Regions from separate parts of the Mus musculus genome. Here regions 1, 2, 4, 5, 6 and 7 are each reported to be linked to region 3. Evidence: microRNA targets listed by miRTarBase, many of them from high-throughput screens and not tested one by one. Region 3 holds a microRNA gene; each other region holds the end of a gene's coding sequence. Distances are between the middles of the regions.
The links. Region 3 holds the annotated microRNA mmu-miR-297a-5p (AUGUAUGUGUGCAUGUGCAUGU, at 1,063-1,084, shown strand). A microRNA usually pairs through its seed, bases 2 to 8, with sites in the 3' UTR of a target mRNA and lowers its output. Matches are read on the target gene's strand: a 7mer-m8 pairs with bases 2 to 8, a 7mer-A1 pairs with bases 2 to 7 and ends in A, and an 8mer does both.

Region 1: the mRNA of Arf2 is a reported target of mmu-miR-297a-5p. The part of its 3' UTR that is shown has no 7-base or 8-base seed match.
Region 2: miRTarBase lists Pura as a target of mmu-miR-297a-5p. Seed matches in the 3' UTR shown: 7mer-A1 at 2,837-2,843.
Region 4: the mRNA of Kcnab1 is a reported target of mmu-miR-297a-5p. Seed matches in the 3' UTR shown: 7mer-m8 at 1,386-1,392.
Region 5: the mRNA of Ceacam20 is a reported target of mmu-miR-297a-5p. Seed matches in the 3' UTR shown: 7mer-m8 at 3,463-3,469 and 8mer at 3,139-3,146.
Region 6: the mRNA of Map4k3 is a reported target of mmu-miR-297a-5p. Seed matches in the 3' UTR shown: 7mer-A1 at 1,437-1,443.
Region 7: miRTarBase lists Ccnt2 as a target of mmu-miR-297a-5p. Seed matches in the 3' UTR shown: 7mer-m8 at 3,073-3,079.

What each region holds. Positions count from the first base shown.
Region 1 is chr11:103,983,301-103,987,369 of GRCm38, forward strand. It overlaps Arf2 (ADP-ribosylation factor 2), which reads left to right. Exons shown (of 5, transcript NM_001304574.1): 5 at 288-2,050. The coding sequence ends at 449. Among named protein-coding and RNA genes, the nearest start is that of Arf2, 19 kb to the left of the region's middle.
Region 2 is chr18:36,287,337-36,291,405 of GRCm38, forward strand. It overlaps Pura (purine rich element binding protein A), which reads left to right. Exons shown (of 2, transcript NM_008989.4): 2 at 1-4,069. The coding sequence ends at 791. Among named protein-coding and RNA genes, the nearest start is that of Pura, 8.3 kb to the left of the region's middle.
Region 3 is chr7:10,955,492-10,959,560 of GRCm38, reverse strand. Mir297-1 (microRNA 297-1) reads left to right here and starts at 1,049; the gene lies at 1,049-1,124.
Region 4 is chr3:65,375,980-65,380,048 of GRCm38, forward strand. It overlaps Kcnab1 (potassium voltage-gated channel, shaker-related subfamily, beta member 1), which reads left to right. Exons shown (of 14, transcript NM_010597.5): 14 at 500-2,246. The coding sequence ends at 589. It overlaps Ssr3 (signal sequence receptor, gamma), which reads right to left. Exons shown (of 5, transcript NM_026155.3): 5 at 3,678-4,069. Among named protein-coding and RNA genes, the nearest start is that of Ssr3, 15 kb to the right of the region's middle.
Region 5 is chr7:19,989,792-19,993,860 of GRCm38, reverse strand. Ceacam20 (carcinoembryonic antigen-related cell adhesion molecule 20) reads right to left here. Exons shown (of 12, transcript NM_027839.2): 12 at 2,748-3,888. The coding sequence ends at 3,835. It also overlaps a transcript of Nlrp9b not described here. Among named protein-coding and RNA genes, the nearest start is that of Nlrp9b, 16 kb to the left of the region's middle.
Region 6 is chr17:80,578,182-80,582,250 of GRCm38, reverse strand. It overlaps Map4k3 (mitogen-activated protein kinase kinase kinase kinase 3), which reads left to right. Exons shown (of 34, transcript NM_001290345.1): 34 at 316-1,738. The coding sequence ends at 403. Among named protein-coding and RNA genes, the nearest start is that of Cdkl4, 2.7 kb to the right of the region's middle.
Region 7 is chr1:127,803,006-127,807,074 of GRCm38, reverse strand. Ccnt2 (cyclin T2) reads right to left here. Exons shown (of 9, transcript NM_028399.1): 9 at 2,238-4,069. The coding sequence ends at 3,516. Among named protein-coding and RNA genes, the nearest start is that of Ccnt2, 31 kb to the right of the region's middle.

The DNA of each region.
Region 1 (4,069 bases), not on the chromosome of region 3:
CAAGCACGGAATCAGGGTGACCAGTGAGGAGGTTATGTCCATTATCCAAGTGAACTGTGGTGGGGTCAGATTAGGGTGTGGTGGCAGAGAGAATGGTGAGAGGTGGTCAGATTCTGAGTAAATTCTGATGGTAGGACTGTTGGGATTTCCTGCTGTGTGGTCTGAGAAAGAAAAAGCTAAGGTTTTGGGTCTGAGCCACTGAAATAGGGCCGGGGTATGTTTTAGAGGAGGATCCTGTTGCATTGCATGACTACAGGTTGGTAAACTGTTTGCTTGTTTTCTTTAAGGATCTTCCTAATGCTATGAATGCAGCAGAGATCACAGACAAGCTTGGCTTACACTCCCTTCGCCAGAGAAACTGGTACATTCAGGCTACCTGTGCGACCAGTGGAGATGGGCTTTACGAAGGCCTGGACTGGCTCTCCAACCAGCTCAAAAACCAGAAGTGATCAGAAGCAACCCATTCCCCATGCATTGTGGCAAAGCCAGCTGGCCTTTCCCGTGTGCATGTGAGCGTGTGAGGAGCCCAGGGGGCTGTGTGGCTGGAGTGGGGGCAGCTTTCTCACACCGTGCCTTATACACGCTATACGAAAACCAGTATTCCATTTTAAGAAAACCAGTGTTACATTTTGAATGCTACCTTCCATTTCACTAGCTTTGATGGTCATTTTTGCTGAGGCCTCCCTGGGTGTGATAGCCAGAGAATCTCTAGCCTGGAAAAGAAGAAAGCAGGAGCCAGACAGGTCCTGTTGTTGCCAACCTGGGTCTGGCCTCTCCATACACCCAGAATTCTGTTGGACGTCAGTGTCCTTTTATAAAAGGAAAGGAAGGATCTGTCATTCTTTCCATTGTGCCAAAGCTAGCAGCTCACTTGTAGTGCTTTAAAGCTCCCGAGAAGAAAAGATGCATTATTACCACGGGTGTGAGGAAGTTCAGAGGGACTACTTCCCCAAAGTTCTGTTAGCTCAGACTGACTCATTTAGGTGGTTTTAGCCCAAGGAATCAGTGACCTTTTTCATTAGAGTATCAAGACTGTAACACTAGAGAAGTTTCCAGCCTGCTCCAAACGTGCCAAATGGAAACTCTGTGGGCTGCTGGCCCAGCAGGAGGCAGGACTCTTCCCTTAAGCCTCATGGTCCACGGTGGAGTGAAGGTTGGCTGGAGGAAGTGAAGGGAGGTAGCTCTTGTGTTCTGGCGTCATGGCTCAGGCCCTTGAGGCTGCTGCTCCCACTTCTCTGCTCTGTGCTGAGTGTTGTTCACATGAAGCAGACAGTTGTCCTGGGTGGAGTTGTCACTGTGTCCCGTTGTCCCAGTCTACTGTAGGCATTTGGTTAGTATCTGTTTCCAGAACTGCGCACCGTGAGTTCTGAGAGTTTGTGAGAAAGTCGGGAGGTTAATGTAGGAGATGATGTTCCCAGTGGCCCCGATACTCCCTGAGATGGTGCTAAACTGTGCTCCGAGAAGCATCTTTCACTTAGACTGCTCTCGAGGCATAGGCTCCCTCCTCAATGGCAGCGGCATCTGAAGAGTGGCTTGGAAGTGTGTGCTGTGTTGTCTTGCAGATGTAGTGATAGGAAGGCCCAGAGAGGAGCTGGCTTCAGCCCTAAGCCCTCTGGCCACACAGCTCTGGGCCACATTTGTACCTAAGCCCTTTTACTGCTTAACGTTTTAAAACTCCTTTCAGAAAAAAATTGATCCCTGCTGCTACAGGAGGGGGAACACAAGCTGAACTTCAAATAAATCTTGTTCATTGGTAACAAAGTTATACTAGGAAAAAATTCCATGCCATTGTAAATGTGGGCTGTAATGTTTTTCTTTAAAAAGTATCTTAAAGAATGTTCATTGCAATACTGGTGACTAAGTCCAGATGTGATTTTTAATCACAGATGAATTCCTGAGAAATGTTGAAATTGTACACCTCCCATTGGCTGGGAGCTCTTGCCCTTTGTAATTATGCTTAGTGTGCCTGGCCTGGTGCTGGGCTGCGGTAAACATGTGGTGATTGGTTAGACAATAAAGAACTTACTGGGAAGTAGACATGGTCATGTTCTCCTGGATGTCTGAGCTGGCTCAAGTCTCTTTCCCCTTATTTCTGACTTTCTTCTAAAACCTCAGGATGTGTACCCAGGACACACCAGGAAGTGCCCCACCCTCAGACCCCTGACCGCCTCCTTCCTGGCACCTCACACGACATCTCAAGTGGCTTTAGAACTGAGATGTCAGTAAAGTGCAAGTCAGGGTACTTCACTAGGATTCCGAACAGAGCCCTGGTCCTGGGAAGCCATTTTCAAGTCTAGCTTGCCCTGCTCTCCAGCCACTCACCGTTAGCCTTGGTGTGTCAGAGCCTGTCAGCATGAGAGGCCAACACTGACCTCAGAGGTGAGAAGTAAATGCTCTATGCCTTCGAGTGTCTTGCTCTGCTCTTCCCCCAGATGTCATGGTGTCTAACCAAGGACAGCAGCACTAATGTCCCCCACTGCCCAGCATCGCTAATAGCATCAGAGAGTTGCTTTAGCCTTGCCTTTCCCCTGGTGCTGCCTAGAGCTCTGGTCTTTATAAGTGTGCTCTGTGCGGCAAGACTGGCCCAGATACTCATGAAAAAAGCAGACTGTGGGGGCTCAACCTGCTTCCTTTAGTTTTTTATTCTTATTGTACAGTTCAGTGAGTCGCCATATTCAGAGTATGCCTCTACCAATTTTAGATGATTTGTATCAGCACCAAAAGAAGCCCAGGGTCCCTTGGCACCTGTCCCCTCTTCTTTCCCACACAATCTGGGAAGCACTCACCTGCTCTGTCTCTGGATAGGGGCTGGGGGACTACTGAATGATCTAGAAGCACCAAGGCTGTGTCACATGCAGGTGACCATGGACTTTACCACAGTAGGAAGGGAAAGGTTGCTACTACAATGTGACACCAGGCATGAAAGGGCTGTGGTTTCCCATTCAGAAGGGAAGAGCTCAGGCTAGGACAGAGAACACAGAGCTCTGCCACATACTAGCAGATCCTCACTCCCCTGTCCTAGAAATGCTCTCAAGGCTTCTCAGGGGCACGGGCCTTTGTGAATGTCAAGAGTATGGGATGCTAAGCATGGCTGGGCCTGAGAGTTACCAGTATAGTGCAGAGCTTATAATTGACGTGTTAAACACCATGCCTCAGTGATTGAGACTATTTCCACAGTGTTAGGACAGGAAGAGTATGTGGTCCATTTTAAAGTAGGTTTCTCATGTGACTAAAGTGACCTAGGTTCCTTGGCAGGCATCAGGTAGACATTGTCATGCAGTACGTGGAAGCCCCGGTGATAGGCTATGAGAGAGGCTTCTAAGTAGTGATTAGTACATTCATGGATGTGGGCATCCATACTGTGGTTTTTGAGAGCTTTTTCTTGTTTAAGTTTTATGACTTTGGGTGCTTTGACTGCATGTATGACCATTTACTGCTCGTGTGTACATGGTCATACATGTCTAGTACCTTCAGAGGCCAGAGGATTTCCTGGAACTGAAGTTACAGATAGTTGTTAGCTACCATGTGGGTTCTGAGAATTGAACCTGGTTCCTCTCGAAGAGTAGCCAGTGCTATTAACCACTGAGTGGTCCCTCTAGCCTGAGAGTCTTTTTTTTTATAGGAAAGACGATGTCAGGGCAGGAGAGATGGCTCAGCATTTTAGAGCACTGGTTGCTTTTCCAAAGGACTTGAGTTTGATTTCCAGCATACAACTGTCTCTGACTCCAGTCTTAGGGGACCTGGCACCCATTTCTGGTTTCTGAGGGCACTAGGTATACACACGGTACAGACATACTTGCAAACAAAGTACCCATACACATTTTTTAAAAATATTTATTTATTTATTATATGTAATTACACTGTAGCTGTCTTCAGACACTCCAGAAGAGGGCATCAGATCTCATACGGATGGTTGTGAGCCACCATGTGGTTGCTGGGACTTGAACTCAGGACCTTTGGAAGAGCAGTTGGCGCTCTTAACCGCTGAGCCATCTCACCAGCCCCCCCCCCCTTTTTTTTTTTTTTTTTAAAAAAAGGTCTTTCAGCAATCACTGCCCAGCATCGCCTA
Region 2 (4,069 bases), not on the chromosome of region 3:
AGCTGGCCTCCAAGCGGGTGGACATCCAGAACAAGCGTTTCTACCTGGACGTGAAGCAGAACGCTAAGGGCCGTTTCCTGAAGATCGCAGAGGTGGGCGCTGGCGGCAACAAGAGCCGCCTCACCCTCTCCATGTCTGTGGCCGTGGAGTTCCGCGACTACCTGGGCGACTTCATCGAGCACTACGCGCAGCTGGGCCCCAGCCAGCCACCCGACCTGGCCCAGGCACAGGACGAGCCACGCCGGGCGCTCAAGAGCGAGTTCCTGGTGCGCGAAAACCGCAAGTACTACATGGATCTCAAGGAGAACCAGCGCGGCCGCTTCCTGCGCATCCGCCAGACAGTCAACCGGGGGCCCGGCCTGGGCTCCACGCAGGGCCAGACCATTGCGCTGCCCGCACAGGGTCTCATCGAGTTCCGTGACGCTCTGGCCAAGCTCATCGACGACTATGGAGTGGAGGAGGAGCCGGCCGAGCTGCCCGAGGGCACCTCCTTGACTGTGGACAACAAGCGCTTCTTCTTCGATGTGGGTTCCAACAAGTACGGCGTGTTTATGCGAGTGAGTGAGGTGAAGCCCACCTACCGCAACTCCATCACCGTGCCCTACAAGGTGTGGGCCAAGTTCGGACACACCTTCTGCAAGTACTCCGAGGAGATGAAGAAGATTCAAGAGAAACAGAGGGAGAAGCGGGCCGCTTGTGAGCAGCTCCACCAGCAGCAACAGCAGCAGCAAGAGGAGACCACCGCTGCCACCCTGCTACTGCAGGGCGAGGAAGAAGGGGAAGAAGATTGATCAAACTGAATGAAACACACACACACACACACACACGCATACACATACGTGTACACACACACACACACAGCCACACACAGAGAAAATATACTGTAAAGAGAGAAAATAAAAAGTTAAAAAAAAAAAAAAAACTCCAAGGGAGCACCACCCACAGAACCTCCACCAACTGACAGTTTCTCTTCTTGACTTGCCACCCATCGCTGGATGTTGTCCACTTTATCCACCATATAAAACAGTAAGCAGCTGCTAAAACAAAAAACAAAAAAATATACAAAAAGTAATAACATTATATGAACTGTGTTTCCTACTTGATTAAAAAATATAAAGAACTGAGTGTTTATTTCCCTAATTAACCAAGAACTTTTGTACACGTTTAAGCTATTATTATTAAAAGTGTTTGCAAAATGGTCAAGATTATAATATTGCTGAATTATATAAAAAGTCCTTTTCATGTTGAGCTAACATTTGACTTTAGCACAAAAAAAAGAGATATTTTAGAACACGTAAAATAATATTTTTAGTTTTTCTCATTTTGTTACCAAATTTCAAACCTTACATGGAGGTTATTATAGTATATTTGACATCCTATATACCTGTGATTAGAGATGTGTATATATATGAGGGCTAGGCATGCTGTGTGTCTGAGCTTTGTCTAAATGTTATGCAGAAGTTTGTAGAGTTCAAGGTACGTAGGTTTAATTCATGCAAGGTAAACAATAAGTGCTCTCTTTTATACAATATGCATTGCATCTGGACCTTAAACATATAAAATGGTCAGTGAAACTTCTGTGAACATGAAGAAATTATTAAAAAAGGCATTTAAATGAAATTTGCTAAGTTGTGATTTTTATGGTTGGAACCAAAGTTATTCAAATAGTAAAAGAAAAAAAGAGAAAGAAAAAGGAAATTTCCCATAATATTTTTCTGCATCTGTTTGCTTTGACTGAGTAGATGTTTTGTTATTATTGTGTATATGAGATGTACTTGTATTGTTCATAATATATATTTTTTATTATGTGTAGAAAGATTTTAAAAACCTAACTAACGTGCAGCAATTTCCAGTGAACCTGTATTTGGATATCAGGTAGTGAGTCTATTTGTGGTCACTAGCACTGTCTCCTAAACTTGTGAGAGGTCTGAAGCTATCCTTTGATTTTTGCCAGTGCTATTAACTTATGTAGACCTGTTTAAAAGCAAAGCAACACCATTATAGTTATCCTACTGAGCCATGGATTCTGAGTTTCATTTCAAAAGTGAAAGCCAAGTTGGTGTATGTAAAGGATTTCCATGTAGCTGTGGTGCTAGTTATTACTGGCTACATTATATGCTAAGTGTATTTGTGTTCCCAAGTGTACACGCCTTCTGTCAAAAGTATGTTCTATTATCACTCATATTCAAAGTGTAGGGTATGAAAACGCAAGCTTAGGAGAGCACTTTACCAAGCTGGTGTCCTCCACTGAAATTGTTTGTAACGATAGTCTTTTACAGGTTTTCATTTAAAGATGTTTATGTGCTTTTAATTGACAACTAACTTCTTGCTGCTGTATAGTAAAATATTAATATATTTTTTATCATTAAACTGCTGCATGACTATCATCTTTGAGTGAAGAGAAAATGTTATAAAAAAGATGCCTTAAATACAGTACATTTTGGTTTGGAATTCTGTAGAAAGTATTTTGGTAAAAAAAGAAAAAAGAAAAAAAGAGGATCTTGTATCTTGTCTGACAGAGAGAGTTCTGGACATGCAATTGTTTCTTGGCAAAGCCAGCCATCTAGCTCTACCTGCTGTATGTAGAAGAAACCACCTGTAGGACTGGGAAGGTGTCAGCACCTCTCCCATTGGACAGTATCGGCCTAGGAAGGCAGAACAGTTATCTTTTTTGAAGGATTTTTTTTTTTTCCTGCTGGCTCTTTAGGTTTTGATTTGATAGTTTTAAGCTTTCTGGTTGAGTGTGTTGTCTTTGTTTTTGAGATCTACTGTATGTGTTGAATAGCAAGCTATTTTCATTGTACTGTGCATTTTCCCATTGTTTGCTTTTCATATTCATACAATGTTAAATATGAGGTGACCGTAAAATAGTTAGGAGTTTCTTTACTTACAAAATCACTGGAAATTATTAAATTGCTTTCCCCTCCCCCCAAGGTGCATTTTTTATTATTTTCATATAGTAAAGTTGAGCTTTTACAGTGCATAATGTGACATTTGGAATGCTTATCAACTGCATGTAAACATTAATAACCTGCACTTTTTGTCTTAAGGTTTGTTGAGCTGTTTTGTTCACTGTACTTTAACTGTGATATGGAAAAGATTGCATTCTCTGTGCTGTTTCTAATTAGGAAAGAGAATTGCTTTGATTTTGTCTCTTGTTTACTATAGCTTCTTAAAGTTAAGCCTTGTGCTACGAGTTGTTGGAGTACTCCTAGATCAGTGTTTTGTAGTAGCCAGCAGTCAGTAGTGCAAGTCAACAAAAACACAGCAAACTTAGGCAAAGTGTCCTTTCTTTGAGATGCAAGTTCTTTCGTAAGGTTTTCTTTAGGGTCAGTTACCTAAAGTAAAACCTTTCTTACCTGTAGACTTCAGATTCTGCTTGGAATCCTACCGGATCAAGAAGCACATGTATTGTGCAGTTGTCTTTACACTATTAACAGTTAACACAATCTTACTAGGACTTTGAATCCATTGTCTGATTTATGGTCAGTGGGTTTAAAAAGAAATCCACATGCAGATCTTTTAAGACTTAAAAAGTGGTCATAGAGAAGACTGAGTGACTGTAAAGATGCTCTTTTTGTTTAAAGCATCTCACTTTTCTCTCCCATTGACCTCCTAACCTCCCCTTGCCCTTCTCCTGTTTCATCCTTCCCCCTACATTTCCCCTCCCAGGTGCTCGGTACTTTACCAAGGTTCTATATTTCAGTGTATTATGTTAAGAGTCTCTTCTTGTTTTTATTTTACTAGTGGGTAGCCCCAGTTTGTGCTGAAAAAAAGGGGGGGGTATATTTGACCATATGTGTTACTCATTGACAACAGTATGATCAAATGTGCCAAAAACAAGCAAACAGAACTTAATTCATGACAAGTATGCCTTATTTTTATTGATCTGCTTTGTCTTACAATTAAGGTCCAAGAGCTTGGTTAAACTATGTTATATGCCTAAGTAAAAAAGAAAACTTGAAATGCATTGAAATATTGATGTTTTTTAAAATGAGAGACACTGTCAAGTAATTTGATTCAAAGATCAGCCACCAGATTTGGAGAGTGAGTGAGTGAGTGAGTGAGT
Region 3 (4,069 bases):
TCTTCTTTGTTCGTGTTAATTTAGGTCTATGAGGCACATAGTCCTTCCTGTATCATGAAATATGGATAATATAAGATTACAGAGTCACGTTGCCCCACTTTCATGGATCTGAGTTTCTCCATGGAGAAGGAACAATTGGTTTCCTCTAGGAAGGCCCCCTGCAGCAAGAGCAAGCTAGAAAATCTGCTCCCCATGTTTTGTGCAGTCGTCTTTTTATGCAGACTTTGTCCCAGATGGCTCTTTCCACTTCCACGCTGGAAAGCTGGGTTTCTCTGCAATACTTGATAATGGATTATTTCACTGTCTTTGTGTTTTGCAATGTAGTTTTACAAGGTAGTTCTGGGTAGTCTAGAACTTACTAGATAGCTCATGCTGGCCTCGAGTTTTACAGTCTTTCTTCTGTCTTCAGCTGAGATATATACCACCATGCTACGAGGGCTTTAGTTTTAATCATGCAGACTTTTTCGCTTTGATATTAAATTTAAAAAAAAATCTACTACATATTTCCTGGTGGCTCAGTGGGTAAGAGCACTTGTTGCACAAGCTAGGGACTTGTGTCCAGCTTCCCAACACCCACATGAAAAAGTATGTGCTGCCCAATATCCCCAGTGCTATTGAACAGAAACAGAAGAACACTGGGGCCCCATTCTAAGTACAGTGAGAGATCCTGCCTGGGGAAAAAGCAGAGAATGATAGAGCAGGCCACTCAGTGTCCTTTCTGCTCTCTTCCTGTACATAAGCTCATGCATCTTTGTGTGTCATATATACTGTTGCACACCTCACAATTTAATCATTTTGGCTAAAGTGATTTTGTTTTTTGGTGGAGATCTCATGTAGGCCTGGATGAACCCCAAACTCCTGACCCTCCTACTTCAATTTCTCAAGTGCATGCATGTGCAAAAGCTAATTGATTTGTTTTTGAGAAAGGGTATCACTATGAAGCTGACTAGTCTGGAACTTGCTATGTAGAATTGCCTGGCCACAGTCTCACAGAGGTGGCATTAACAGCATGTCCCACCATGCCAGGCCCTAGAGCTAAATTTAAAGAATATGTATGTATGTATGTATGTGTGCATGTGCATGTGCATGTATGCATATTGCATGTATATATTATGCATACATGTATGTATTTGCTTGTGTTTGTATGTGTACTACAGCATGCAGGTGCTTCAAGATGATCAAGAGGATGTTGGTTTCTCTGAAGTAGAGTTAAAGATGGTTTTAGCCACCTGATGTCAGTACAGGATATGGAACCCAGGTGCTTCGAAGAGAGCAGCCAATGTTCTGAACCACAAAGCCATCCATCTCTCCAGTGCCCAGCTAAATTGTCAACGGGACTGCTTATGTTTCTTCCTTTGGGGCAGAATAAAGAGATGGACCTGACAAACCCTTTTAGCTACTGAATCAATTTAAGGTATTCACTCTAGTCAATTTGGAGGTTGTTCAGCATACATAATTATTTGTTTGAGACAGGGTCTACCCATGTAACTCTGGCTGGATGGGAATTCATTGTGTAAATTAGACTAATCTATATATTTTCTACAATCCTGCCATTAAGCTTGGAGCTCTAGGGTTTCTTGTGCCCTCTTCTGGCTAATGAGAGCACTGCATTTGTGTGTACAGATCCATACACAAGCTCCCACAGTATATGCATAATAAAAAATGAAATAAAATCTGGATCAGGAGAGATGACTCATTAGTTAAAGCATTGGCTGCTCTTCTAGAAGACCTTTGTTCAACTTACAGCACTCAAAGTAACTCACAATTATTTTTGACTCCAGTTTTAGGGGACACATGCTCTCTTCTATCCTCTACATGTGCCAGGCATGCAGGTGCTGAACAGACATACAAAAATGCAGGAAAACACCCATGTGCAATCAACCAATCTATTTTTAATTAAAAATTTTTGACAGGAGTGCTGATATACTCCTTTAATCCCAGTGTGGACACTATGCCCCTCCTTAGATTTGGGAACAAAACACCCATGGAAGGAGTTACAGAGACAAAGTTTGGAGCTGAGATGAAAGGATGGACAATGTAGAGACTGCCATATCCAGGGATCCACCCCATAATCAGCATCCAAACGCTGACACCATTGCATACACTAGCAAGATTTTATTGAAAGGACCCAGATGTAGCTGTCTCTTGTGAGACTATGCCGGGGCCTAGCAAACACAGAAGTGGATGCTCACAGTCAGCTAATGGATGGATCATAGGGCTCCCAATGGAGGAGCTAGAGAAAGTAGCCAAGGAGCTAAAGGGATCTGCAACCCTATAGGTGGAACAACATTATGAACTAACCAGTACCCCGGAGCTCTTGACTCTAGCTGCATATATATCAAAAGATGGCCTAGTCGGCCATCACTGGAAAGAGAGGCCCATTGGACTTGCAAACTTTATATGCCCCAGTACAGGGGAACACCAGGGCCAAAATGGGGGAGTGGGTGGGCAGGGGATTGGGGGTGGGTGGATATGGGGGACTTTTGGTATAGCATTGGAAATGTAAATGAGCTAAATACCTAATAAAAAATGGAAAAAAAAAAGAATCCAACTTGTCTTTGATGTCATAGATTGATATATGGCAGGGACTTGTCCCTTTATTATGCTCAGGTCTGAAGAGTAAAATCATGGCAAGCTCATATTAATGCAAACAACTTTATTCACTTTGACATATTTGTTGAGCCCACTCCTGTAAACACATGCGCACACATACATGCACAAACACACACACACACACACGCACACACACACACACACACACACACACACACACACACACACACAGAGAGAGAGAGAGAAAGAGAGAGAGAGAGAGGTCTTACTTTCTTTATTTAACAGAAGATTGTGAAAACAAAACTCAGGAAAAGAATATGTTGATACCTTTGTGTCTATTTTCACTTAACATGAATATCACTTGCCAATTTTCAAGGAGAATACTGTGTATGTATTCTTTGTAAGTTACAATTTGACTTGTAGAGAATTTGGATCATGTCTCTTTACTAGATTTTTTTTATAGGCCATGTATTTCCAGAGACAAATACTCCCTGATTAATAATTTGTGCAGGCTAGGATTATTTTATGTCAACTTGACATGTGCTAAAGTCATCTGAAAGGAGTGAATCTCAATTCAAAAAATGTCTGCAGAAGACATAATACCAGGCTATAAGGCATTTTTAAAAGTAGAGTTTGATGAAGAAAGTCCAGCCCATTGTGGGTGGTCCTATCCCTGGACTAGTGATCTTGGGTTCTATAGGAAAGCAGGCTGAGCAAACCAGGAGGAGCAAGCCAATTAGTAGCAAGCCAGTAAGCAGCACCCCTCCATGGCCTCTGCATCAGGGCCTGCCTCCGGGTTCCTGCCCTGTTTGAGTTCCTGTCCTGACCTTCTTGGATATGGAAATGAGAGCCAAATACACCCTTTCCTCCCCAATTTGCTTTTGGTCATGGTGTTTCATCAGAGTAGTAGAAACATTCATGTCAGCTCCATATTCCATTTTATTTGGAATATTTTGAAACCTCATATATACTTTTTTGTTGTTATTTTACTTTTAAGACACAAATTCAAATTACTCAAATGAATAATGCCACTAAAAATTTTAAATCTATAAGCTAGTGTTTTATTGGCAAGGTATGACCCAAATTTTGTTTTTGATCCTATGTCACAAGTCATAAAGTCTTTTCAACATTTGGCCTTGACTTAGTCATCTGACTTCGAAAAGGTAAATTGTGGGTGCTGGAAAGATGCACCCATAGTGGTTAAGAGCACTTGATGCTGTTCCGAAGTCCTGGGTTCCATTCCCAGCAACATGGCAGTTCACAACCATGTAGAGCTTCAATTCCAGGGCATCCAATGCCCTCTCTGGCCCTTGAAGGTACCAGGTACACACATGATGTACACGGATGAAGGCAAAACCACTTATACAAGTAAGTCATTTTTTAAGAAAAAAAAAAGTGATATTGCCATAGAAAACATCAACAATCAAAGTATGTCTGGGCATTAAAAATTGGTCTCAACTTGTTCTATATTCATGAACTTTATGCTTTCACCATGGGATCTTTGGGACTTCTGAAT
Region 4 (4,069 bases), not on the chromosome of region 3:
TATTATTTTAAAGACAGCATTATTACCTGCTAGAAAAATTAAAACATAAATTGCTTACACTGAAATTCTACCAGATTAAGCTACTCTGTATTCATGAGACTTTAGTCCTTTTTTTTTAAATACATATGTTTTTATAAAGGATTTATTTCATTTATATGAGTACATCATAGCTGTCTTCAGACACACCAGAAGAGGTCATCAGATCCCATTACAGATGGTTGTGAGCCACCACACGGTTGCTGGGAATTGAACTCAAGACCTTTGGAAGAACAGTCAGTGCTCTTAACCGCTGAGCCATCTCTCCAGCCCCATGTCTTCATTTCTTTAGTCAACAAACACAATCCCTGACTTGAAGCTTATCCATTGTGGGGCATGGGGTAGTGGATCTTCATTTCAGCTATGGCTTGCAAACATATCGCAAGTATAAATGACTGCTTAATGTGGACTCCACAAGACAAATGCGCAACCCTAACCCTCTGTGCTTCTCCCCTACCCTCAGGTCCTCCCTAAGATGACATCTCACGTGGTGAACGAGATTGATAACATACTGCGCAACAAGCCCTACAGCAAAAAGGACTATAGATCATAAGGCAATGCATGAGCCACTTAAGCTGCATGGGTAAAGTCATGATGGGTAGGCAGTGCAGAACGGCCTTACCAGCCACTCTTTTCAATCACTTAGCAGTTTGCTGCTCAACCTCTAGTGTCCCAGGATTCTCTGAGGTTTCTGCTGTTGCTACCACTGTGCACCCTGAATTCTGAACACATCTGAAAATTCACAAGCCAGAAAATCCATTCTATTTTCTTATCTTGGACTGGTCCCCTACCCTGGCACTGGTCTGTGTACCTCATGTTTTTGCAATGGAAAGAATGCTGGGGTAGGGGAATCTATTATCTTCAGAAGAAGGCTGTACATATATATTTTTTTCAAAAGAACAAATTTCACAAGATACAGTATATGACCTGCATAGGAAACAGGATATCCTCACTCTTTAGTCTTGCTCGGGAGAACAAACTGAACTAGATTTTTCCCCCCATATTTCATATTCACACTAGCAAGTTTTATGTCACCTGATATTCAAATAAAATTTCTAGATATTTGCTTTCACTATCTCTAAAGTTATATTGTTGCCTGGCCCTGTACAATTTAACTGGGGTGTCTCTCAGGGTTCTAACATATCCATTTGCATAGTTATAAAGGCATGACTATCCCAAGATACATAATAGATACATAATGCTGATTTATAAAAAGGTCACAATGTTATGGAAACAGCTTTAAATAAAATGTTAAGTGTTCATTTTTTACTTTCTATTAAAGCCTACATTTACTTTCAATTGCTTGTAGGCACAACTTCTGTTGAGGCTAAATATTTGACTTTAAAAATACATACATGTTCAGTTTTGTAATTAAACCTATAAATACCCAGAAAGGCAAGTGTTCAATTTACCATTGGGACATTATCATATAATGCTTGGAATTTTCTGAAGTTATTAACATGAAAACAAATCATAGGCGATGTTAAGAAAAAGACAAAAAAACATTTTTTTTCTCATTCCTCGGCACATGCTAGATGACTTAACTTGCCCAAAGAAAAAGCAAAATATTCAAGAAGCTCCTGGTTCGAATTGTATCACACCCTACACCATATGCATGAAAGCTCTTTGCATGGAATAAAGGGGCCTAGCTTTGCACTCAGAATCTGAGATACACTTAGCTCTGCCTCTACGGGCTAATTCCCCTCACTGTATCCCACTTGAGAAAAACTGTAAAACTATATATACTGTGTGGCTATCTGTAAATACGGATAAGACACAAGGGGTTTTTGTTGTTGTTTTGTTTTCTGTAAAGGTGGGGTCATTTTCTAACTCTTATTTGTCTAACTATAGATGGGCAACATTCTACTTCATCTAGTTAGCAAGTTCTCCATCACTTTAAGATTTACACAAGAAATATACGAACTTAAAATCATTTTCGGATATGTACCACATGGTTAAGTTCTAAATCTTAAACTATCAGTGAAAGATACCAAGAAATATGATTGTGACTACCTAGCTAGCCTCCAGCAGGCAACTTGGGAGTTTCACCCGTGAATATCTGAATAATGATAGAGATGAGCTAACTTTCCATCTATTCACTGTAAATGTAATCCACTGAACTACTGTACGTATAAATGAGTGGAGTGCTGTCTAAATAAAAATCAATTTATTTGCTTAGAGTAATAAAGGCATCTGCAATCTCATAATACATCTTTTGGGTCTTTCATTATAAAATACAAATAAAATGTCACCATGAAATAAACAATAATCCCCTAAATAAATTATACTGAAAGCTATACTACACTGAATGCTTAAGAGAAGTCACAGTGACTAAAAACAGGCTGAAACAAGGAACTCCCGTCTCTGAGGAAACAGAATGCACAGGATCCAGAGTTCAGATATGTTAGACACTCTCTCAACCACCACCATCCCAACAAAAAAGAAAAAAAGACCGAGATTTGTGCTGCAAGCTTTGCGTGCTGGCACACACCTGTAATCATAGCACTTGAGAAACTGGGGGGATGGGTTTTAAGTTTGTGGCCAGCTTGGACTGCACTTACAAGAAAACTAAAAAATGTTTTGCAAACTCCTTTCCTTTCAGTGGATTTTGGAAAACTGCACACTAAAGTTGAAGGTTCTCAAACCCTCTTGAAAGCAGCTGCAAATTTAAACCAAACATGGGCAACACTAGTTAGCTGTGGAAGCAGCCAATTTGGACATATCTACCAAGGTAAACTGAGTAATGCATTTCAGTTTTACCCTTATGAAGAAAAGCTTCATTTACTAATTTCCTCTTCAAAACTCCATGGCAAAAAACTAGTCATACTGGTCTCAAGCAAGACAAATACAAACTACAAACTCTGGGCCTGGATTCCTACTTCAGGAACTGATAGAAACATCATAGACTGCCAAATATCATTCAAGCACACAGCAACAGCACTGCTTCAAGGAACCTAAGTGGCAAAGCCACTACTTGCATAACAAGGAACTCAGGTCAGGACAGATAAAGAAACTGACCCAAACTGCTAGTTCATTACAACCCATAGTCCCTGTATGCTAGCCCACAGCTCTTTAAAGACTTTTTTCTTTATAGGGCTGTTTTTACACTCAATTATATGAGGGTTTTTTTGTTGTTGTTGTTGTTGTTGTTGTTTTTAGAGACAACCTACTCCACGAAATAGTCTCTGATCTTCATGTATACATGATGACACACTTGCCCTGCTACCCCAATTTTCTCTACCTCAGCTATTGTGCATGTGTCCGAGTATCTACCCGCACAATAATATAAAATTAAAATTAAATAAAATGAAAGACCCGCCCAATCTCCTATTAACTACCCTAAGACTTCAAAATAGGTGGGAAATAAACGATATGCTGGTATTCTTCATACATGCACACGTGTACATTCATACAAATCCTTCCTAACATAATGCCTGGTAGGAAGGCCCAGCAGGCACACAGCAGCACACTAGGGCAGGGACGGACTGTTCCTTCCTGTAACTGTGCTACGCCTGTCACTGTCTCAGACATCTGGCCAGAGACTTCAACAGGGCACTTACACGTGTAGGAAAGAGGTCTAATATAAAGTGTGTAATAAATACTCTTATGGTTCACATAAAGAATTACAGAAAAACAAAACACATTTTTAAAAACAAAGTTTAATCATACTTATTAATAACAAGACTTTTTTTAAAATGCAGAGTATAAATTCCACTTCCATCATTTCAGTTAACTTCAAATTATCCTTTCCAAATTAAAACAATATATCAAACAGTACAAGTTGTATATTTAATCCAAGACTTCTATTAAGTTATAAATGAGTAAATCGTGAAATAAAAATTCTTAACACTAAGAGTCTACCTATCACACATATGAGAAAGGAAAGAATGTGAGCACTCTGAATGTCCTATTTTACTGGTGTGATGTATGGGGTCTTTTTATGGTACAAACTCTGCCTGCCACAGATTTCACTGTCTTACTGAACACTTCGTAATCCTATGTGCAATGTTCAATGGTGGAGAAGAGGCTAGAG
Region 5 (4,069 bases), 9.0 Mb from region 3:
AAACTCTTAGCTTCTTGTATAGAAACAGAGACAATAAAAATTTTTCTTACATAATGTAAAGCTATATTAGCCATACCTAGAGGCAAAATTTTCCAGTGATTACCAGTTCACTAGAAGCAAACACTTTACAATTATCAGAATGCAAAGGAAAAAAATAAACTTTTAAATCTATAATGACTTTACATGAAATAGGCAAGCCAGATTGTAATGCCTTTATAAGTTCTACAGTCTGATTGACCTTTTATAAATTTTGAATTTAAACTTTACTTGGAACAACATCTGGATAGATCTGCAACAGTGTTCTTTTAGCTAAAAGAAAATTCCCCTGGAGGCAAGGAGAGGCAAGTTTCAAGAACTTCCTTGGGCATGGTTTGCAAAACAAAAGAAAGTCACACAAGCCTCACTGAGGCTGCTCTGAGTTTTGTATGGCTGTATGGCCACAGAGAGCTGTATTAGTGCTCTCATAAGATGATTACTCTTGTAATTATCTTAATTAACAATATATGGGTGAGTAGAAAATCTTAAATTTGTAATCAAACTGCAAGCTGCAGTCAATGAAACACTGGCATTTTTAACCATAATTTTTAAGTTTCTTTTGCAACGTTAGGATAATATCTACAACCTTGGGAAAACAAAACCCAATTTTTTTATTATTTTTTATTAGATATTTTCTTTATATACATTTCAAATTTCAAATGCTATCCCGAAAGTTCCCCATACCCTCCCACACACACACACACACACACTCCCCTACCCACCCACTCCCACTTCTTGGTCCTGGCGTTCCCCTGTACTGAGGCATATAAAGTTTGCAAGACCAATGGGCCTCTCTTTCCAGTGATGGCCTACTAGGCCATCTTCTGATACATATGCAGCTAGAGTCACGAGCTCCGGGGTACTGGTTAGTTCATATTGTTGTTCCACCTATAGGGTTGCAGATCCCGTTAGCTCCTTGGGTACTTTCTCTAGAGCCTCCATTGGGGGCCCTACAAAACCCAATTTTAAAACAATTTATCATCTTTAAAATCAATATTAGAAGCATTACTATCATATTATGAAGTTTGGCTGCCAATTTATACCTATGAATGCATGACAGTGCAAATTTTAATGCTTCATTAAAGAGACATTGTTTGTTTTAAATCTTATCTTTAAGTCTACCTATCAGGATAAGAATCACATTAAATATTATCTCAACTAGAAGTGTCCTTAGAGGCCTAGCTTTTTGGCCTGCTTTATGCCACGTGTTGGAAAGACTCCAAACCTAAGTCGCCAATTTAAAGCTGTCTTGCTACCAATGTTACACCTTTAAGACCAGTAAAAAACCAAATGCAGTGGCTACATGAGTCTTGTAAATTTAGACCAATCAAAGAATTTTACTTTTTATAGCTATAATTATAAGATAAAAAAGCACTTTGTCATTTCCTAAACACAATAATCACGATTGCAGAGAACCCTCCAGGAAAAAAACAACTATCAGCTTTTTTGCCCCAAAACTAAGAAGCTGCAGACTCCCTTTCTTTGAAAGCAGCTTTTCCCAGTAGTGGCTCCCCTGCTGTGCCTGATCCCTGGCTAAAGTGTGGCCACTCTCTGGCTTTGCTGAACCAGCAGCTAAAGTCTCAGCCATTTTTATTTTCCAACATGAAACACAGAACATTCAGTTGTTCAGACAACGGGACAAAACACACATGGATTGACACGTAAACGGATTTGGTGCACCAGACATTAGACAACACAAAGAGGGCAGAGAACTTCTGCTGCATGGGGCCAGAGAGAATAAAGCAAGGCGTCCCTCGATTTCTCTCTGTCTCTGGGAGAATTTCAAAATCCATTTCCTCTATTTTATTTTATTGTATTGTATTGTGTTGTATTGTATTGTATTGTATTGTATTGTATTGTATTATTTTAAACCCTATTCCTCTAGCCTAATGTAGTTCTCGACTGCGGACAACCACCTGTTTCATTATTTTAAACCCTATTCCTCTCACCTGAAACAGCTTTTGAAAGCTGCGGGCAACCGCCTGACTCAAAGTTTCTAGCCCCACACATATTTCGCTGTCAAACCTAAGTGGACCCAGCGCTGGGTCAGCACTGTTCCAAAGTTAGCCCGTATCCTATTGCACCTCCAGTAACACTTTTAAAAATGAAGTTTAAAGCCAGCACTAGCATAAATACCTGTTGCTCACTGTGCCCGATACAATCCTCTGATTCTTTCCTTCTCATGGAGCTCCACACAAGATAGCAATTCCCTCAGGGTTTTTCCGCCGTTCCCAATGTCCCTGGTTCGGACACCAATCTGTTGTATGCCAGCCCGAGGCCTACATGAACCAGGTACACCTGGGAGGCAGGCTGGGGCTGAAAGAGACTTAGACTGTGAGAGAAATTAATGGAGACCAAGACACGTTTTCTGTTCAAGGCCCACGAGTTTACTAAGAGACCGTGCTTATAAGGGCGAAGGCCCATCTTCCTCCTCCCCCTACCCCCCCCCCTCCCCGCCAGTCCACTCTTGGTGCCTGGAGCCATTCGCCAGGCTGGTTGCTATTCAGGAATGTCTCAGGAAGACAGGTTCAGCCTCTCGGCAGGTAGCAGAAGAGCAGGGCAGTTTTCACTTCAAAAGAAGCCAGCCAAGTTGGAAAGCTCCACTACAGGTGATCCCACCTCAGTGGTACAAGGTTTGTATCAGTCTGCTTCAGGCTGGGAGAGGCCACATTTTATTACAGCAATAGAAATCTAATTAAGACACACTATTGTTTTCTTTTAAATAGTTTATCTTTATTTTTATATGCCTGTATGCTGGTGTGAGGGGTGCCACTGGAGCTGGAGTTACAGATAGTTGTAAGTTTCCATGTGGGTGCTGGGAATTGAACTTAGGTCCTCCGGAAGAACAGCCAGAGCTCTTAACTGCTGAGCCATCTTTCCACTATGCAGCCTGCCATTGCTTTTTTTAAAAAAGGAAGATTTTTTATGTGTACCCAGGCACTATTTATTATGTGTGTGCACATAAGCACATGAGGCTCAGGAGCTGGAGCTAACAGGAAGTTGTGAGGCACTGACCTAAGCCCTGGGAGATGACCTTGGGTCCTCTTGAAGAGACATGTGCATCTTAAGCACTAGAAACCTCTCCAGACCCTTTGTTGCATTTTGTATGTGTGCTACTAGGGACTGGACCCAGATTCAATGCCTGTCAGGCAAAGCACTTAACCACTGAGCTTCTCATCACACTGAGCTGGGTATGATGGCATATGCCTTTAACCCCAGCAAAGGCAGTGGGATCTCTATGAGTTCAGGGCCATCCTGATGTACATAGCAAGTTCCAGGCCAGCTAGGGCTGCATAGTGAAACATTGTCTGAAAGAAAAGAAAAGAAGAGAAGAGAAGAGAAGAGAAGAGAAGAGAAGAGAAGAGAAGAGAAGAGAAGAGAAGAGAAGAGAAAAGAGAGTGAGATTTGCTTTTTTTTTTTTTAATCTGTATGTCTTCATGTCTCTGCAGAGGCCAGAGGAGGGTATTGGATCCCTAGAAGCTGGAGTTAGAATAGGTAAGTCTCCATACAAGGGTTCTGGGAACTGAACCTGTGGTATTTGGAAGAGCTGCAAGTGATCTTAATGACTGAGCCATCTCCCCAAAATCCAGCTATTTATAGCTCTGTTGCTATAAATGAAGCGTGAGCCAGAAGCTAAGATTTGGTGGAACCTGTTTGTCCAGAGTCTGATCCAGCTAGGTCATCATGAAGTCCGCAGTGGTGGCAAGGAATGGCTGGATTCTAAAGTGCAGGTATCAAGGTCACAGAGTATGTGGCCCAGGATGGCATGTCTAACTGGGAAAAGAAGCTTGGCATGCGTCAGGCTGATGGGGTGATCTTGCAGTAAAGACTATGGTTTGAATTCAGCAGTTTCTGTTAAACAAAGGGAGAAAGTGAGTTCTAGCTATTAAGTGTGCACTCTGGTCTAAGGGACTTGTCATCTGCAGCCCAGATAGCCTGAGGCATTTTACCCCTCACCTCAGATATCCCTCCTTTTTCATTGCATTACAGTCATACTAGTATCTCTAGGCATAGCCTATGATCCTGCCCACTG
Region 6 (4,069 bases), not on the chromosome of region 3:
AACAGACTGTTTTAGGATTAATAGGACCAAGCCCACCCCCTCCCCACATTACTCCTGTAGAATTGGTTTCTCCTTAGCCCTTGCCCTTCACACCCTCAAGTCCTAGAAGAATACTGATGTAGAGGTAGGCAGTGGGCACCTCCCAGGGCTGGAGTCAGAGTGACTGGGGGTAGATTCTGCCCATAAGAGCAGTGCTTAGAGTAGTGTCTAAAAGAAGCCATGGTTGGCTGCTTGGTTTGTTTGGGGTTTTTTTGCTGATGTTAGTTTTCATAAATAAATAACTTTGTTCTGTTATGTGTTTCTTATTACCTTTAGGGTTGTGGTTTTGGAAAGTCGGCCAACTGATAACCCAACAGCAAATAGCAATTTATACATCTTGGCGGGTCACGAAAACAGCTACTGAGACACGGTGTTCTTGACAGTGACCTGTGGAGACAGTGACCACAGCTGCTGCAACGTTAGTGGAGGAGTGAAGCTATGCAGACCCTGCAGGAACCTAGATTCTGTTTCTTATAATTTATTGTGGCATGAGACAGATGGGAGAACATTTTGTTTTAAGTGGTATGGATATATTTAGCATATTGAACCACACAAGTGCTTAATTCATTGTTATGTAATCTTTGTACATATAAGCAGTATTTTTCTGTGAAACTTCATATTGCTGAAGGCATACACTAAGAATTTATGTAGATAATGTACTTTTATGAGATGTAAAAGTGTCTTATCTGTACAGATGTAAATGTTGATGAAAATGCAACTGGGGTTAATATTTTAAGAATTCTTTAGTATATTCTTGGGTGTGGTCATATTACAAAATGGGATGCTGGCAATGAACCAAGACATTAACACTATTGTATTTTTATTATATATAATTTAGTAATATGGACATAAATCCTGTAACTTTTAAAATGGTAACGAGCTGTAATCATTTTATAATCTTGTTTTTAATTTTAATGCACGTGCACTGGTGTTTCTCCTGCACAGAGTATTGACATGTGATGTGTTGTCACAGAGAGCCTGTGACACCCACCGTGAATACAACATCTTTTTTACATGTATTTGGATTGTTTTCTATGTGAAACAAACCAGTTAACCACCTGTTGTAGTAACTGATCTTTTTATATTTAAGGAGAATTGTGTAAGATAAGCTTGTCTGTGCTTAGGATACACCTTCGCAAAAACTTAAATCATGGAATGGCGGTACCACGGTAGAACACTGCAGCTGTCGCCAGGGTTACAGTGCGCATAAGAGCAACTCGCATTGCTGAGGAGTCCGCACTAGACATTTCACAGTCACACTGAAGAGCTGTCACATTCCAGAGTGAGCTGATCAGGTTTCTCGTGGGCTTTTACTTCTGTTGGCATTAGTTTATCACTTCCATATTTCTTTAGATTTTGAGTATTAATACATGGCCAAAATAATTTAGTTACTACCTCATACAAACATTATAATGGTTACTACAGATCACAAGAAGTTAGTTTGGTTAAAATCATTGTTGATTGGTTTTTTCCAATGGAGTGTATCTGTCTTATCAAGATAGATACCAAGTTGTAGCAAAGTGCACACCTCTGACTCTCTTTGGTATATGTTCATATGTTCTTTATATTTTGATGTGAGTATATATACACTAAGAACAAGCTAAATTGTGATTTATGCTTCATTTATTTTAACTGATAATGGTTTTAAATACGTTCCTGATTGTACATACTGTAAAATAAACATGTTTTTTAACATGCTGTTGCGTAGTTGCTGGTCAGTCGGCTTAGTAGCATTAGAGGGAAATGCTTCGTGTGCAGTCAGATCGTAAGCATCCAGTTCTCCCATGATCATCATTGTTTGATCTACATTTTAAATATAATAATTCCCACATTTGAGAAAGAGGGCATCTTTTGTAGGATCTTGAATTCTTATCAGGAAAAACAAACACTCATAGTGTTTTGGTTGAAGCTGGAGTAGGCAGTTTATATCTTAGCCAGGTATAGCCCACCTCCTCTTTTTATTAATAAAGTTGTGTGAGAACACAGCACCACCTATGTGACCTGTCACCTAAGGCTGTGCCTGTACTTCTGTGTCACACCTGAGTGGTTTCAGAGGAACACCGGCCTGAGAGCAGACACGTGAGCTCTCAGGCCCTTTACAGAAAGTAGGCTGTGACAGCCTGGGAGAGCACAGCCAAGGAGCGTTGGGGACGCCGTTCTGAGGGCAGGGGCAGGAGGAGACGTGGGAAGAACTGACTGAGTAACCAAAACACACTGTCTCTTAGGGTGACCTTGGGTCATTTAGTCCAGAACCATTGGTTGCCTAAGAATCAAAGCAATTTTGGATGGCACTTTCTCTAATATGAATAATCAATCAACATTAATTACTAATGACACTTTTTTTAAAAAATCCACTTACATGAGAATGACATCACTAGCTGAAAAAACAAATTTGGGGGGAAGTTTTTTAAAAACCAGATTCTATTCTTAGCACTGCAGGGCAGTTGGTGCTCTTAAACCTCAGCTGATGTTCATTCCACTCCAGTACATTACATCTCAGAAATGGTCACAGTGGACTGCCACGCACTTAGAAATACTGCCCCTCCCTGAAAAAGGTACATAATTCATTGCTTAGTAACCATACGTCTTACAAGATATCTTTGGACTCTTTAGAGAGTAAGGCCCACTAGTTTTTGTCTCTATGGAGTATGAATTATTCTGATAGGCCCCACAGAATAAGAGCCACTGGCATAAGATTGCATTGACGTCGACAGACCACTGGCTTTGAAGAACAACTTACATGGCAGTTTCAAGTACAAAGTCCTAGGTTCCACAAAGGGATCCGCTCACATAAGTGGTGGGAACGATCTTATTCTGTCTGCTTTCTTGTTAACTGTGTCCTTACTGGTTTTGAAAGCGGCAGTTTATTACAGGCGGTTTTGGTGGATGTGTGAGTTGTGTTTTAGTAGAGACCACAAAAATAAAGGTTTTAGTCATCCTCATCATTACCAACACAGAAGGGAAAGTACGGGTGGAAAAAGGTAGCCTAAAAACCCTGAAAGGTTTTCTAACATTTGTTGGTGATCTATTGAGGGACTTTTGCAGATCAGAGGGAAGATGAAGGTAAGCAGTGCGGTCAAGCGCGGCTCTAATCCCAGCTGACGTGGAGGGTCATGAGTTCAAAGCCAGATTGGAACTGTAGAACGAAGTGTTCTCTTGTTTTTTCTGTCTCCCTTTTCCATATAGATATATACACACATATATAAAAGAACATAAACATACATGTGTGTATGTATATATATATATATATATATATATATACATACACATATATATGCACAGCACACGTAATATGTATAGAGAGAACAAACGGTATCTTGGATATGCTTTGGGGAAAGAGAAACTTACATATAGACAGCTGTAGACATCCTTGGTAGAAGAAAAGGAACTTGATATGCAGGGATGGGCTGACGGGTGATGCTATAGTTGAAATGCAAAAATGCCGCATGTTCAAGGAACGGTGATGTTAAATGCAGTAGAGCTTTGAGTGTGTGGACAAGGACCTGGCACAGAACCAAAGTGGGCCGGTGAAGAGTCTCTGTGTAGATGAGTAGCTTGGAGAAATGGGGAGCGAATGGGGAGCATTCACAACTGTGGAGACAGGAGACTCAAGTTCAGAGTCTTGGCTACGTAGCAAGTCCCAGGTCAGCCTAGGCAACATGAGATCCTATCTCACAAAAGGTGGAGAGGAGCCAGTCCTTGTGATCTTTAATCCCAGCACTTGGGAAGCAAAGGCTAGCAAATCCCTGAGTTTGAGGCCAGCCTTTTGTACATAGCAAGTTCAAGGACAACCACCAGGACTGCATAGAGACCTTGTCAGACTGGGGAGACAGTGGATAGAGATCTCCATGCAAGTGGAAAGACTTGAGTTTAAGTCCCTAGAATCCCTGTGAGCTGGATGGACTCCATCTGTAACACCAATGCTCTTGGGGCAAGATGGAGAGACAGGAGAATCTTTCCAAAAGTCACAGGCCAGCCCCCCTGTCATACACAAAAGAGGACAAAGACCCTGTCTCAAGGTGAGAAGCAC
Region 7 (4,069 bases), not on the chromosome of region 3:
GACAGGAGAATTAATTACAGTCAGCCCTTTTCCTTGTTATAGAGGAAGACCATGTCTCATCTCAAAGATTCCAAACCAGAGACTTTTTCTGAGAAGTTATCAAAATAAGCCATCTCCATAATGCAGGAGCCTTAAGTCATCCAACCAACAAATCATGTTGCACCCATGCACTAAATAGGCAGCGGCTTATATAATGCAAATAAAATCAGAATTTAAATCGTAAGAAAATACACTTTCTTGAAACATCTTAAGGCAAGGTATTTGGTGACTAATGACATTTCAAACTGGTTCTCTAAAGTAAATCCTAACCTGTTCTGTTTTTACTTCATAGGGAACAGATAGGTCCAAATGTTTGGGAGTTCTGTATAATTACTATCTGTTGGCACAAAGTGTGCGCTCACGAAACCACCCAGTACCACACGAGACATCTTTAAAGCTGAGTACTTAGTGCTCTGAAGCGTACCCAGGACTGGCACTATAGCCTTCACTGCTACTCCATAGGAGACATGTGGGGCCTTATCTACCAGTGGGCACTGGCACTGAGTTTGTAATGCAGGCCTCCAGAAGGCTCCCACAAAACAAACACTCCTCTGCTTTGGTTCTGAAGACAGCTTGTGTTAGTAGCTAAGGCAGAGATTTAGGAAGCACATACTGATTTTAGAAACTTAGCTGAGAGAGGTAGACAGGAAGCCTCTGATTACAATGTGCTTTTGCAACAAGGTGGCAAACCTAGGGAAACACCTTAAGAATGAGTCACTCTTTTATAGGATGATGTAAAGAGAATGCTTTTTAATCATTTTCAAGTATTAAAAAACTCATCAAAAAATGTTATCACCTTAACAGTACTATGCACATGTGAAATTTCACACCTAAGTTTGATACTATTTTGGTTATTTATGGCTACTTATAAGACTCACAATAGAATGTCCATTTATTGAGTCTTTTTTCTTTGGTAGAGTCTAATGGGACCATGCAAATGAACTATGTTATGCAAACAAGATCATTTAAGCAAATTCATGGTGATATGAATTATAAGGGTTTTCCTTAGTGGACAGGAAACAAGGAGTCATGAATTTTCCCCCATTGTGGTTTTAGCATCTTGTTCTGAGGTTGAAGAGTTTGAATAGTTCACACAATCCTGTAAAAATCACACTGACTGCCTTTTAATAAATAGTCATTGTAAAGAATTACATTTACAGAGTGAGAAGTGAATACACAGCATTTCAAAGTCAGTTCTGGAAGCACTAAGTGTACTTATCCACAGCGTAGACACTATCTGTTTAACTGTCCATCATTAGCACCAATGAAGATTCAACAAAATTACCTTTATTCCCATATCTAAAAAACAAAACAACAAACAAAAAACAACACATTTCTGAAAATCCTTAGTGAAGTTTAACTACAGTCCCAGACCTTAAATATTCACATTGTTTTCTATGTCATACTGAAAATAAGTTTGCTACGTCTCTGGATACTCTTTACAAAGGCTGATTAAAATTCCTGGGTCACTCCCAATGATACAGTAGCACGACCACCTCATGTCAATTCACATGATGCTCTGTTGAGGTTTCACATCTAAATCACCAAGAACAAAACCCTTCCCTCCCTCGCCTTGTACTCTGTTTAAATCCTATGCTAGTTCTTGGAAATGTACCACGGTAAAACTGTAACTGTATCAAAATCATCATGTTTATGATACAACAGTATACCACAGCAACAAAAATCACATAGTAACAAAGATTACCAATGAAACAAGAACAGAGTGAGGACTAGCCTGCTAGGCTGAGTTCCCACAAAGAAGCTCCTGACATCCCAGGTTCAAATAACATTGACAAAATAATCAACAATTTTCTTTAAAAAACAAATAGCTACTGGCAAATGGGATAACTGCTAAATAAAAGTAGAGTACAAGGCTCAACTCTAATATTTACAACCACAACATACTTGAATAAAATTACAATTGTGCACAGATCAGTGGCTTTATAACAAAACATTTCATATACAGAGGAAAACTTGTGATTCAATACAAGTTGAACCCGACCCATCTTAAGAGACTCAACAGCTAAGACTTACCACAGAAATAAATTCAAGGTTAGGCAAGAGACAAGAGCCATACTATTGGTGCTTATACCAAAATTTAGACAAGTCAGTCTATCCCCTGACAAGGCGTCAGGTGACAGTGCAAGCATTACCTCAATGAGAACCTACTAAGACGTGCAAACGCATGTAAAACCCCAGCATGTAAAACCCCAGCAGTGGCTTGCCTGAGGCTGGCCTTTTTCCTTACATTTTCCTGATAATGACCATAAGCTATAAATACAGGTACAATGCACAGTCAGCAATCTTTTCTTTTTTATTTATTGTTAGAATATAAAAGAATCAAGAGAGCATAGGTTTAATTTCATTTTTATAAGGAAGACTGCATTTACCTGAAAAAGAAATATGGTATCTCTCCCTCACACCCATACCCACACACTCACACTCTCTCTCACATACACACTCACTCTCTCTCTCCATGGGAAGAGTATATTCAAGACTATGGTGTCACTGCAATGCTAAAGGAAAAGTGACCCCTGTTCACTCTTAGAATCTGTAGTGTCAGCGTTCCTGAAGAAATGGACTCATCTTCACTGGGAGCTGCTGTGAGCAAAGTCACAGTCATCCTCACACCAATTATTAGCTGCTTTCTACAGCACTGCAACAAGCCAACAAACATTTAAATGCACTTCACATCAAGAGTATGTAAACTTTATTGTGTTTTCCTCTTCAAGCCTTCAGAAATCAACGGCTGATTCTGCAGCCAATCTGGTCAGGACCTCTGAAGGCAAACTGAGTGCTTCCCAGTGTTAAGGACCACCCATGGCACCACATTCCCGTCTAGTAGTGAAGTGTCCCCTCAGCGGCTTCCAGTAAGGCCTAGAGTTTAATTAAGGTTAACATAAAAAAAGTGCCACTTGTGTTTTAGATTAGTGATGGACTCTGACGAGAGAAAATAAAGTTATTCTGTATATTGTTATTCTTACAAGCAGCTCCAATCCTGAGTATTTATGGTAATATCTAAACATACAAAAATGTATGTACATTTTTCTCCACTTTCTTGTAAACAGCTGTCAGTATACTGTTTTATCCCTTTATCACTGAGACATGCAAACCATACATACAAGTATAAATACACAAAAGAAAACAACTGACACTCATTCAAAGCCAAGCAACAACAAAAAACAGCTACAATATTCAAATCATAAATAAGAGAAGCTTGAAGCAGCTTAGGCTCCTAGCAGCAGCCAGCCATTCATCCTAATGTTCTCAGCTGCATCTTCCATGCGGTTACAGTCCTGGTAACACTATCGTATGTGGAGATAGGCTTGTTTACTATCATCTCTTCTTTCAGAATGAAGAACAAAGCAGCACTTACAAATATGGAAGCAGTGGCACCACCGCCGGACCAGGAGGGCGTTTTCCATTCCAACCATTTTTAAATTAAAAAGGCAAGGAAAAGTTGACCTAAACAAAGGTTACATATTCATTCCTTGGGCACTTAGCAGCGAGTCCAGCATGTCGAATGTGTCTTTGTAGTCCATATGCTGGCTGCTTGTACTGTACTCGTGATTGGCCTCAGGACCGTGGGGCTCCACTGGTTTCTTGTCCAGTTTCACGAGGGTGCTGAGATGTCCGTAGCCCACCTGGTATGTGACAGGGGGAGGAGGGGGTAAGGGATGGTTAAAAACAGAGCTGTGAGAGGATAGATACTGCTTAACAGAGGAAGAACTAGATGAACTACCTGCACTTTTGGAACTTTTGCTCATTTTGGAGTGGTGGTTGTGGGAGGCTTCGCTGCTATGCAGCTTCTTCCTTGCACTGGAGGCGGAGGAGACGCCTTCAGGGCCCAGGCCCACAGGACTCCTGAGCACCGTGGGAGGCATTCCATCCGCTGTGTGCTTACTGCCTCCACTGTGCATGTGCAAATACTTGTGGCTGCTGTGGTGGCGGTTGGCAGGGTGCTCCTTGTGCTTCTCCTTGTGGTCTCTGCTGATGTGTGGGCTTGAGTGCTTGCTCTTCCCACTGCCTT